Oryzias latipes: one gene and its partner. The protein of the gene in region 2 purifies or fractionates together with the protein of the main gene of each other region. This does not show direct contact. Links are inferred from orthologs where the notes say so. Each region holds a gene or a part of one and is shown on either strand. Other genes may lie near its edges.

The links.
Region 1: the proteins of vars (region 2) and eef1b2 fractionate together in Homo sapiens (co-fractionation; 3 studies listed by BioGRID, with this or other methods). This does not show direct contact. The link is inferred for Oryzias latipes from reciprocal best matches to the Homo sapiens genes VARS1 and EEF1B2.

Annotation. Positions count from the first base shown.
Region 1 is NC_019860.2:25,081,894-25,088,139, reverse strand, and holds eef1b2 (elongation factor 1-beta), read left to right. Parts: upstream 1-3,016; 5' UTR 3,017-3,140; coding exon 3,141-3,220; intron 3,221-3,883; coding exon 3,884-4,006; intron 4,007-4,082; coding exon 4,083-4,212; intron 4,213-4,278; coding exon 4,279-4,345; intron 4,346-4,514; coding exon 4,515-4,640; intron 4,641-4,816; coding exon 4,817-4,884; intron 4,885-4,949; coding exon 4,950-5,036; 3' UTR 5,037-5,062; downstream 5,063-6,246. Other genes in the region: ADP-ribosylation factor-like protein 11, read right to left, coding at 1,052-1,167, 1,236-1,301, 2,097-2,129. UniProt on the Homo sapiens protein: Catalytic subunit of the guanine nucleotide exchange factor (GEF) (eEF1B subcomplex) of the eukaryotic elongation factor 1 complex (eEF1).
Region 2 is NC_019874.2:20,777,364-20,783,108, forward strand, and holds part of vars (valine--tRNA ligase), read left to right. Parts: coding exon 1-64; intron 65-137; coding exon 138-317; intron 318-420; coding exon 421-545; intron 546-652; coding exon 653-756; intron 757-848; coding exon 849-1,007; intron 1,008-1,620; coding exon 1,621-1,711; intron 1,712-1,820; coding exon 1,821-1,926; intron 1,927-2,067; coding exon 2,068-2,138; intron 2,139-5,745. UniProt on the Homo sapiens protein: Catalyzes the attachment of valine to tRNA(Val).

The DNA of each region.
Region 1 (6,246 bases), on a different chromosome or scaffold from region 2:
AGCAAGGGAGAAATCTGAAGGGAACCAACATTTTTATAAACCACAATCTCACTAAAAGACATAGCAGGAAGAGCACGTTACTGAAAAGGCTGGGAAAATTCAAGGAACCTGGGTAAAAGACTGCACGATTTAAGCTAAAAGGAGGAATTCCCCCCTGAGGAATCAAAGATCATCATTTTCAGGAACCTGGAGGAGCTGGAGAAGTCTTTACCCACTGCAGTGTAAACAAGAGATACGTGAAGATGCTGGTCGATGACCTCTACTATCCATGGCTTCTAAAAGAAACTACACTTTTTCTTCAACAGTCACCACAACTCTCAGAGATCTGAATGGTGAGCAGACCCACCTTAAAATATTCAGTAATAATGACAACAACCTTCAAGACATCCACCCTGATCAGTTCTTTTCCACTGTTAACATGAACTGCAGATATTGCAGCATGGATGACTTTAAAAACTCTGTTAACCCAGAAGAAAAACTGTCAATCATTCTCTTTAACAGCAGAAACATGTAGACCAACTTTGAAGACATCAGAACATGGAACATTCCTTTGATATCAGAGCCAGATCTGAGACCTGGTTCAGCCGCGACAAGGACGCTGACTTTGAATTAGAAAACTAAGAACTTAACTATGTGAACAGAGAAAACAATAAAGGTGGAGGAGTCGCAGTGTATGTGACAAAAATATGAAGCTTGACTGTCAACATCCAACCTGACCAACTGGAAGTGAATGGGACATGAGGACTAGCGCTAAAGTTATTTAACAGGAAGAAAACACTTCGTCAAGATTGATGAATTTACATCAGTGGTCAAGGAGGTCAGTAGTGGTGTCCCGCAAACATCTGTCTGTTTTTGATTGATTTTATTCAATCAGTTCATCATTTCTGTAATGAGTTTGATAAATCTGTGGGATTATTTCTTCTACTGTATACAATGAATGCTTGAAATCAATCAATCAATCATTTCATACAAACCCAGTGTGCTCCAGGAGTCACATTGGGTAAGGGTGGTGTTGCCTTCATGCACCACCTGTTGGTGTTTGCCCCTGTACCTCCAGTTGGGCCTCATGTTCTTCTGCCCCCCAACATCCCAGAGTGTCAGAGATGTCTTCTTATCCAGGTTCAGCGTTCCAACGTTGAAGCCGACGGTTGGAGACGTGGTCACCACCTGAAGATCACCAGCCACACTCAGCCAAAAACCCCAGCATCGTGGCATTCACACTGCAGGAGACTCACCTTTCCTGTTAGCAGTCTGGCCAGCAGAGTAGACTTCCCTGAAGAGTCCAAACCCATGAGAATCACCTGCAACGACGCACACCTGTTACCGCTGGAATGGACACACTCACAGCTCCACAACCCAGAGTTCTGGTTCTGAAAAAACCCTGACAGAATGTCCCAAAGCAGGACCATACCAGGCACTGCCTTAGAGAATCCAAAAGACTTCTAAGACCAAGAGGAGGAAGAGGAGTGTACGCTGAAGGCTCAGAGATGTTTGTCCAGAAGAGGAGGCAGATCCCCCGACTACCAAAAACAATGTTGTCCTGCCAAACGGAGGACAAGTCCTCTACAGAGGACACATTTGCATTGCTGCTAGTCCGGAAGATCTGGACTTCATTTACATGAGAGGGCAGTGTGTGTGCATGTGAATATGTGCGTGCATGTGTGTGTGCGTGTGACGTGGTCTGTAGCATCCACACAGGTTAAGTTCCTCCTTGGTCCAACATCAACCTGCTATGTGTAATGAAAGAAGCCCGAAGGACAAACTGGGTTCCTGGGTGGAACTGAAAGACCTCAGCCACAAACCTCACTGAAGAACCACACCTAGAACGTCCATCTGTTCTTTATCAGTAGGTATCAGAGAACGTCTCCCGGTCTGCAGACGGAGATGTCAACAAGACACCCCCCTTCTGTTCTATAAACATACTGACGGGCTGAGCATTTCTACCTCCTCACAGGCTAAACAACTACAGACCGTGTAATGTACCTCTTCACAGTCTATGACAGGAAAACATGGCATAGGCCACGCCCCTCTCAAATGGACATTTCCCTTAAGACACCTGAGCAGTGCAGAAGCTTTAGGACAGAAGATGGACTCACCTGAGGACAGGAAGACGATCCTGCCTGACCCATGTCTGCTCGTATGAAACCGACTCACTCAGGTGTGTAAAGGTCATTCATGCTGAAAGCCAATGGGAGCAGGGAATGAGGACAGGCGGGTCACATGACATTCAGGTCTGACTGCTTTTACTGTTGTTTGTTTAACTCTAACCTGTCCGTTCTGATGGAATGCAAAGGAGATGATTTCCCTGCAGATCAGTTCTCAGACATGTCCGGGTTCCTCCAGTTCCACCTGATCCAGATCCACTAGCTTACAGCCCCAATCTAACACCATTAAAAATGGTAGCAGCATCCCACCCATCCATCCGGCCGGTTCTTATCCAGATTCCAGGAAAACAAAAACGTTCATGGATCTGTTGGTCTGCAGGGGAGAAAGGGGCGGGGCATGAAGCTTGTGGCCCCGCCCAGGATATGTTCAGCATCACAAATATGAAACAGCGTTTTTTCATCTGCTGCTTCATTTGGATAAAGGAACCCTCAGAAATTCATGTATTCTTTCCATTTGTCCTCCATCAGGAGAAAATTCTACGTGTTGAAAACACCAAAGCAGCTGTTCCACCGGGGGGGGGGGGGGGGGCCTTAGAGGGACTCCACGTTCCTGCAGGGTTCCACTGCAGAACACAGAACGAAACCAGCCAGGACCAGCTGAGAGACCTGCAAGCATGTAAACAGAGAGCTCTCAGCTCCACGCCAGCGGCCCGCCCACAACTCAGAGGAGAATGTCTGATGAACTCCTGCCGCTCTGCAGACACTAGGTCCTAGAGAACCACAGGGGGTTTGGATTTAAAGACGCTTTGAGTTTGAGAACACATCGGATGAGGGTTGGAGTGGAACTTTGAGACCAGTTAGAACAGTTAGAACCTGTATGTTCTGGTGCAGACCTTGCCCCTCCTCCTCCTCCTCTTCCTCCTCCAAGGAGGAGGAGTCTTGAGGAGGAGTCAGAGCTCCGGCATAAATGCGTTTCCCGTCCTCCCTCCCTCCTCTTTCTCCTCTTGGTCGCGGTAGAAGCAGCTCATCTTCGTCATGGGGTTCGGGGACCTGAAGTCTTCGTCTGGGCTCAAAGTTCTGAACGACTTCCTGACGGACCGGAGCTTCATCGAGGGGTGAGCGGAGCCGCCATGTTGGGTCCGCCCGGCTACCCATGCTAGCTGCTAGCTTAGCATTTGGCGCTAAACACCCGCGCAGAAAGACCGAGAACACGCGGGACGGCCCGGGATCGGTTCGGTGCTTTGACCGGCAGAAACGCGCCAGCCAAAGTCTTTGGTTCCGCCAGGGTTCTGGAGAATTCCTGCTGGCTCGTGCCGCGGGTCACATGGCTGGTTCTCTTACATGGTGCGCGCGGTGCATTGTGGGTGATCTGACCGTTACCCGGGCACAGAACCTTGTAGTTTGTCACTGGTTCCGTGGTCTTCAGAACCCAGACTTTGTTGCTTCTTTGGTCTGCAGCTGGTCCTCCCGGTTCCTGATACGAACCTTTTGGACACATGTTGATGCGGGTCCCGTAGACTTAAATCCACACCCAAGAACCAAAGTTCTTTTGTGGTCCAGGTCCAGTCCTGAGCTGCTTTGTCTGACCCGGTCCAGGTCCAGTCCTGAGCTGCTGTGTCTGGAGTTCTGTGGAGGTGGGGATCCTAAACCCGTCTGCTGGATGGAGGAGATCCCGTCTTCCACTTGTAGATGTTCTCCGGGTCTCAGGCGGTCTGGACCTGCCCCTGTGCGGGGATCAGGTGTGTTTAGACCCACGGTAACCAACGGTCTGTCTCCAGGTATGTCCCCTCTCAAGCGGACGTAGCCGTGTTCGAGGCCGTCTCGGCTCCACCCCCTGCTGACCTGTGCCACGCCCTGCGGTGGTACAACCACATCAAGTCCTACCAGGCCCAGAAGAACAGGTGAGGCGGACGTGGTGGTACGAGGCGAGGGTCCGGAGACCAAAGCTGACCTCCAACGCTGACCTCCGGCCTTCAGTCTTCCAGGTGTGAAAAAGCCTCTGGGTCAGTACGGCCCCACGGGTGTAGCGGACACCACCTCCAGTGGCCCTGCTGCCAGCAAGGATGAAGATGATGATGACATTGACCTGTTTGGCTCTGATGAAGAGGTGAGGCTGCAGTCTTAGCCAGGTCTTCATCGCTTCCATCTCACCTGTGTGATTGTGGTCCGGCAGGAGGACACGGAGGCCGCTAAGCTGAAGGAGCAGCGTCTGGCCGAGTACGCCGCTAAAAAAGCCAAGAGTAAGTCTGCACATGCTCAGTCTGCAGCAGTTCTCTGATGATGATGATGATGATCCAGTCACCATCTTTCGGCTGAGCGCCTGATGGACACCTGTTTTCACCTGACGGTCGTTGCTTACGGTCAGACGTAGCGCTCTGTTTGCCCCACTGAAGCCTCCCTTTCTGCTAGAACCCGCCCTCATCGCCAAGTCCTCCATCTTGTTGGACGTGAAGCCGTGGGACGACGAGACGGACATGGCGAAGCTGGAGGAGTGCGTGCGCAGCATCCAGATGGACGGGCTGGTGTGGGGACAGTGTAAGGAACCGATGGGTCGTTGATCAGAGTCACGGATCTGCAGAGATGATGATTTACTCACCATCTTTCGACTGAAGTCTGATGCACACTCAGAACCCTGACCCTGCAGAACCCTTAGTTCAGACCACAATCGCTGCATCGACAGAACCTTAAGAGTTTTGTTTCTGGTTCTGCAGCCAAACTGGTCCCGGTGGGTTACGGCATCAAGAAGCTGCAGATCAGCTGTGTGGTGGAAGACGATAAGGTGGGTTCCTTCCTGTTCCTCCTGGCTCCCCCCCCTCAGGTTCTAACGGCGTTCTGTCCTTTCAGGTGGGAACGGACATCCTGGAGGAGCAGATCACAGCCTTTGAGGATTACGTTCAGTCCATGGACGTGGCAGCATTCAACAAGATCTGACATGTTAATAAAATCATCAAACTGTCGGCTGCTTTCTTTGGTCTCATTAGAACTGATGTGATAACAGTTGTTCATGAAAAAGCTTGCAGTTCCCTCCGCGGCCTGTAGGCGGCAGTGCAGCTCCAACAGTTGAGTGCAGAAGAAGACGACCGGAACTAAACAAGCGCGCGCCGACACGGACCAAACAGGAGGATTAACCCGCGCTAGAGGTCCTCAAGCGATCCACAATCTGGACCGAACGTCGCTCCACGCGCACAGGTGTGTTCAGTCGGAACCAGCGATCAAAGGCTAGCGGTTAAATACAAGCTAACCATGTGACTAATGCGTGATCCAAGCGCCGTGTGGGTTTGTGTATTAAGGTTCACGCGCCTAGAACGTAGTCCAGGTGAGGGTGGGGCCTGTGAGCGGAGTTCAACCCATTTGGCGCGCAAGATCTTACCTGTCTGCGAGCGAGCCACATCTGTAGTGACGTCACAACAGGACTCAGAAGGTGGCCGTCAAACGTCAGTCCAGTTAGCCCAGGTGTTGAGAGAACCACCCGCTTCTGGTTCCAGCAGAGAACGTTGGTCTGTCCTGAGGTCCATCCAGCTGTTTCATAGGAGGTTCTCTGAACCCTGGATGAACGTTCTGAGATCTTGGTGGTTCTGATGCTGAGATCAACCGATCTGTCAGGGAGCTCCGCTTTACTGCAACAGCGGAACCCGGACCAGAAGTTCAGGAGAACAAAGGCAAACTTTCCTGTGTCAGCCCGGCCCAGGTTCAGGTTCTCCACCGCTCCGTCAGATGTTCTCCATGGTTCCGTCATGGCCTAGTTCTCTGAAACGATGGAAGTGTTCTGACGCGCTGTAGACAAGTCAGACGTTCTCCAGGTGTTTGGGACGGGTTATGAGCAGGTCTGAGCTCCAAGGAGAACCAGCAGAGTTCCGTCTGCACGTTCTAGATCATTCAGCAGAGTTCAGCAGGCTGAGGAGTAGAAATGAGTGCATCAGTGGGTTTCTGGACCCTAAAATGACTTGAATTCAGAATCTGCATAGAATGTCTTACAGTGATGATGTCATCACTGTGGGACCACATTCAGACTGACGGGTCACAGGATGCAGTCTGTGGCGTCCACAGGCGTCCACACCGGGTCGACTAAGGCAGATTTATGGACGGATGAGGATTTCTGCAGAAATGAGCAGATTACCACGAAGCTCCCCAAAAACATGAA
Region 2 (5,745 bases):
GGTTACAAAGATAAAGTGGAGTTTGGGGTCTTGGTGTCTTTTGCCTACAAAGTGGAGGGATCAGGTATGTGACCTCCGGCAGAACATTTTAATAAAGTTCTGCTGCGATAACAGTCCTCTGCTCCGTCTGTTCTCAGATGAGGAGGTGATTGTGGCGACAACCCGTATCGAGACCATGTTGGGAGACACGGCCGTGGCCGTCCACCCTGCCGACCCCAGATACCAGCATCTGAAGGGGAAAATGGTGCTGCATCCCTTCTGCGATCGGAAGATGCCAATAGTCTTGGATGACTTTGTGGACATGAGCTTTGGAACAGGTAAGAACCCGTCCAGAAACGTGTGAGGTGGGGGTTCTGTTGCATGTTGGACCTTTTTTCTCATTAGTTATATTTCTCAACTTGTTCACCATTTTCTGTTTAGGTGCCGTCAAAATCACCCCAGCACATGACCATAACGATTATGAGGTTGGAGAGAGGCACAGCCTGGCCTTCATCAACATCTTGGATGAGAACGGCCTGCTCATCAATGTGCCCCCTCCCTTCCTGGTATAATATACAGTTATTGCCTTGCCTCCTTTCCCCCCTCTTTCTTTAATGTTTTTTCTGCTAGTTTCTTTCTCTTTTTTTTTTTACTTTTCCTCTCCGCATTTCAGGGCATGAAACGTTTTGAGGCCAGAAAAGCGGTGCTGCAGGCTCTCAAGGACAGAGGCCACTTTAAAGAGATCAAAGACAACCCCATGGTCGTCCCAGTTTGCAGGTAAGGTTGGTATTTGTTAAGCGGAACACAGATCTTGGGATTTTTTTGTATTTGAGGTGACTTTCTAAAATTCTCCTTCCTTCCTCTGTTAGTCGCTCTAAAGACATCGTGGAGCCTCTGCTGAAGCCGCAGTGGTACGTGAGCTGCAGAGACATGGGCAGGGAGGCTGCGGACGCCGTCAGAGAGGGAAGGCTCAAAATCATCCCTGATCACCACCTCAAGACCTGGTTCAACTGGATGGACAACATCAGGTCTGTCAATGTTAAGCTTTTAAATAAACAGTTTTTTCTAATTTCCTGCTCATATGAAGTCCAATTTAATGGATTTAAAGTCCTACTTCAGTCATCTTTTGATCTATCTTCAGAGCGTTCCCAGTGGTCCTTTAATCATGATTATGCCAACATTTTTTTGGCAAAATCAAAAAACCCGTGTCGTTTCCTAGGGCGTAGTTTCTGCAGTTGCCTTTAAATTGTGGGCAGGACCGTTGGCGTGGAGCAGTCCCGCCCCCTTTCTCCTCCTTGTTATGGAGCAGGAGCTTGTGGCCTCCCCAGCATATTTCCTATGTCACAAAGGCGCTCTTTCTTTAAACAGCATTTCTTTTGTCTGCTCTTGATTTGCAGCAATTTGAAAAAAGAAATACTCATAAATAATTTCCTTCATATATGTCCTCCATCATAATCAGAAAAATGCAACCAGAACATGTTAAAAACACCAAAAACACAATTTTCATCAAAGGGGGTCTTTAAGTCTTGATGTGGACCAGTTGATCCTGTGTGAACATGCTGCCTCGTTTTCTTGAAGCACATTTTTGGGGGTTTGTTGCTAATGAGATATTTTGGCCTCTGAATTCCTGTTTGTTTTCAGAGACTGGTGCATCTCCCGACAGCTGTGGTGGGGTCACCGCATTCCCGCCTATTTCGTCACCGTCAGCGATCCTTCTGTGAAAGCTGGAGAGGCAAGCCGGTGTCTTCAGCTCCTCTCAAAATCTGCAATGTTCTAGAAAGATTAAGCACTGCTTGAGTGGCCATAACTTTTTCCATACATCTTTAATGAATGTCCTCCAGGACATGGACGGCCATTACTGGGTAAGCGGACGGTCCGAGGTGGAGGCCAGGGAAAAAGCGGCAAAACGCTTCAACGTGTCTGCGGACAAAATAACTCTCAGACAGGGTAGGATTTGCTTGTGTGGCGGTGAGGTGTTGGATGACTTCAGTTTCTGCCAAAGCACAGACGAGCATCGCTAAAACAAGTCTACGGTACTCTGTATGGTTTCTACGTTCAGATTGGGTAACTTTGGTTCCTGTGTTACAGACGAGGATGTTCTGGACACTTGGTTCTCGTCTGGCATTTTTCCTTTCTCCATCTTCGGTTGGCCTAATGAGGTAAGACCCAGACTCTTCAGACACACCTATTCCAGAAGATACAATCCTTTGGAGAATAAACAGCAATAAAATCCATTCTATAGGAGGACATTCTGTCCCCTGAAGCTAACATTTATGAATGTATGAGTGGACTTTAAGCCATAGTAATCTCCACACAGTGGAGCGTGAGCCAATCATCTTTTGACCTTGTTTTTTCTTTGATGTTGGATTGATATATTTGTATTTTGTCTGTACACTTCACATCCTTGTTATAAAACATTAAAACAGTTTTTATTTTATTTTTTTTTAGTAAAAAGGACTAAATAACCCTCTCAGAATCGTTATTTTGCACAGTTTCGGGTTTATTGTGGAATTATTATTTAGTATAATGAAAAAAAAACTATTAAAAAAGAAAGTGGTTCTATTAAATAAATGAATATTTCTTTATTTAAACATTTGAGCAATGGAATTATTGGCCTCTTAAAATGCCACTTCTCATTTTTGAGATGTAATATTTATAAAAAAAATAACAACATTTTTATATTTATAAAAAAAGAAAAGCCAACAAAGTAAAGTTAAGTAACAAACAACTCAAGTTACAAATTATTATACAAATACTCTATATAAACAACACAAAACATACACACCCGCACATACATACATAACTGTTTCTCAGCCCTCCTCCCAATGCAGCTTAACAAAGCATATTCAATCACAGCACTCAACTCAATTGATGTTCATTCATTCATTTTTTCATTCATTCATTTATTTATTTGTTCCTTTCATGAAAATTGATGTTCAAATGTTTACATGTTTCTCTTACATATTGAATATTTTCATGATTGGAAGGGAGCAGAATTGAAGAACACAATTCTTATAATTATCTGCTCCCTTTTAAACATTACATTTACATTTCTCACACCATCACCTGTGCTCAGATTTCACAATGTACAGTTCCACTACACAGTAAATACATTCCATTCATTTAATACATACATTCCAAAAATTGCATTCAACAGTCAAGTTTGTACAAACTAATTTGTTTAGCTTTATACATGCGTTTAAATTTAATAATATTTTGACAACTTTTTAACTGATTCTCCTGGGAATTCCACATTTTTACCCCTGCTATAGACAAACACTTTTGCTTTAATGTTGTTCGAGCAATCTGTTGTTTGAAATCAAATTTTCTCCTATGATTTTCATCTCCTGTGGTAAAAATAAAAAGCTTTTGTAGGTCTTCTGGTAAATCTCTGTTTCTGGTTTTAAACATAACTAATAAGGTCCGCAATTCAATTAAATGTTTAAGTTTTAATAAGCCTGACTTAATAAAAAGTTCATTTGTGTGATCTCTAAAATTAGCTTTGTGAATAATTCGAATAGCTCTCTTCTGTAGTAGAATTAAGGGCATTATATAAGTTTCATATGTATTTCCCCACACTTCAATACAATATGTAAAATAAGGTAAAACCAAAGAGCAATATAACATGTGCATAATATGACATGGTAAAACATATTTAGATTTGTTCAGAACAAAAAGGCTCTTGGCTACTTTATTTTTTACATAAAATATATGAGATTTCCATGTTAATTTGTCGTCCAACATAACCCCTAAAAATTTAAATTCAGACACCTGTTCTATTTTTATGTTGTCAATGGACAAAGTCACTTCTGTTCTGTTTTTATTACCAAATACCATAAACTTTGTTTTTGTTAGATTCAAAGATAGTTTATTGTAGTCAAACCACATTTTGAGTTTTATCATTTCCTTTTCAATACTTTTAGCTAAGGTTTTCAGATTATCCCCAGAACAGAAAAAATTAGTATCATCAGCAAATAAAACAAACTGTAACAACTTAGAAATATCACAGATATCATTTATATATAAAATAAAAAGTTTAGGTCCTACAATTGAGCCTTGTGGGAGTCCACAAATAATATTCATAAGATCAGACTTCTTACCTCCAAACTGTACATATTGTAGTCTGTTTTTTAAATAACTGGTGATCCAGTTCAGGGCGATTCCTCTAACCCCATATGCATATAATTTAGAAATCAAGATAGAATGATCTATGGTGTCAAAAGCCTTCTTTAAATCCATGAAAACTCCTATTGTGTATTACTTTTTGTCAATTGCTGTTGAAATTTCTTCAACTATTTTCATTATAGCCAAATCTGTAGACCTATTAGAACGAAACCCAAACTGATTCTCACTTAACAATTTATTTTTTTCAATAAAGCTGTCTAGTTTGTTAACAAACAACTTTTCTAAAACTTTAGAAAATTGAGAAAGTAATGATACTGGTCTGTAATTATTAAAAGTATGTCTGTCTCCATTTTTAAAAAAAGGAATAACTTTAGCTATTTTCATCTTCTCAGGAAAAATTCCTAATTTAAGTGAAAGATTAAAGATATGATGTAGTGGTTTTACAACACAATCTATGGTCATTTTTATTAATTTCATGTCAATCCCGTCCCTGTCCTTTGAGGTCTTGTTTTTTAGTTTGTATACTGTAGTCAAAATGTCATTTTCAGTCACATCAGATAAATACATAGAATGGGAAATCCAATTTTTATTTTCAATAATATCTTTTGATTGTAAATTGCATGTAATATTTTCTGCTAAATTGGGTCCTATATTTACAAAAAATGAATTGAATTCATTTGCCATGTCCTCTTGCTTTTTGATGACCACATTGTCTTTAAGGAAGAAGTGAGGTAGTTCTATTGATCCTGACTTATTTCCTATGACCTTATTCAGAATATTCCACGTAGCCTTTAAGTTATGTTTATTTTCATACAGAATCCTATGATAATATTTCTTTTCAGCTTGTCTCAATACATTTGTTAACTTGTTTTTGTAAACCTTATAACGTTTTTCAGCTGCTGCTGTTCTTAAGTTTAAAAAGTCCTTATAGGGTTTGTTTTTCTTTTTACAAGCATTCTGTAGGCCCTTTGTTATCCAGGGTTTTCTGTTATTTTTAAATTTAGGTCTACTTAGAACTTCTGGACAGTGTCTATTGTAAAGATCTAAATAACATTTCAGAAAAGCCTCATATGCACCGTTTACATCATTTGTATAAATTTCATTCCAGTCTTGATTTATGAGATCATTTCTGAAAGCGTTCAGAGTTTCATCATTCCTTATTCTTTTGTATATTTGGTGGATTTCTGCTGACTTTTTTTGCAACCTGAAGTCAAATATAGCAAATACAGGCAAGTGATCGCTTATGTCATTAATTACTAACCCACAATTTCTTTGAGTTTCCAAAATATTGGTAAAAATGTTGTCTATTAAAGTTGCACTACTTGTTGTTATTCTGCTAGGCTTTGTAATCAAAGGATACAATCCTTTACTATATAATGAATCGAAAAAATCAGATGTTTGTAAATGTGAATCTAGCTTTATGAGATCTATATTGAAGTCTCCACAAATTATTAATTGTTTATGGTGATTTAGATTACTTAACATATCTTCTAAATTTTCCTTAAAAGTTTCAATTTTTGATCCTGGTTTCCTATATACACATCCAACAGTCATATTTTTGTTTTTTTGTAACTCTATTTCCACAGCAACACTTTCCATTAAATCATCTATAGTAGATGTCATGCATTTTACCGGTTTCCA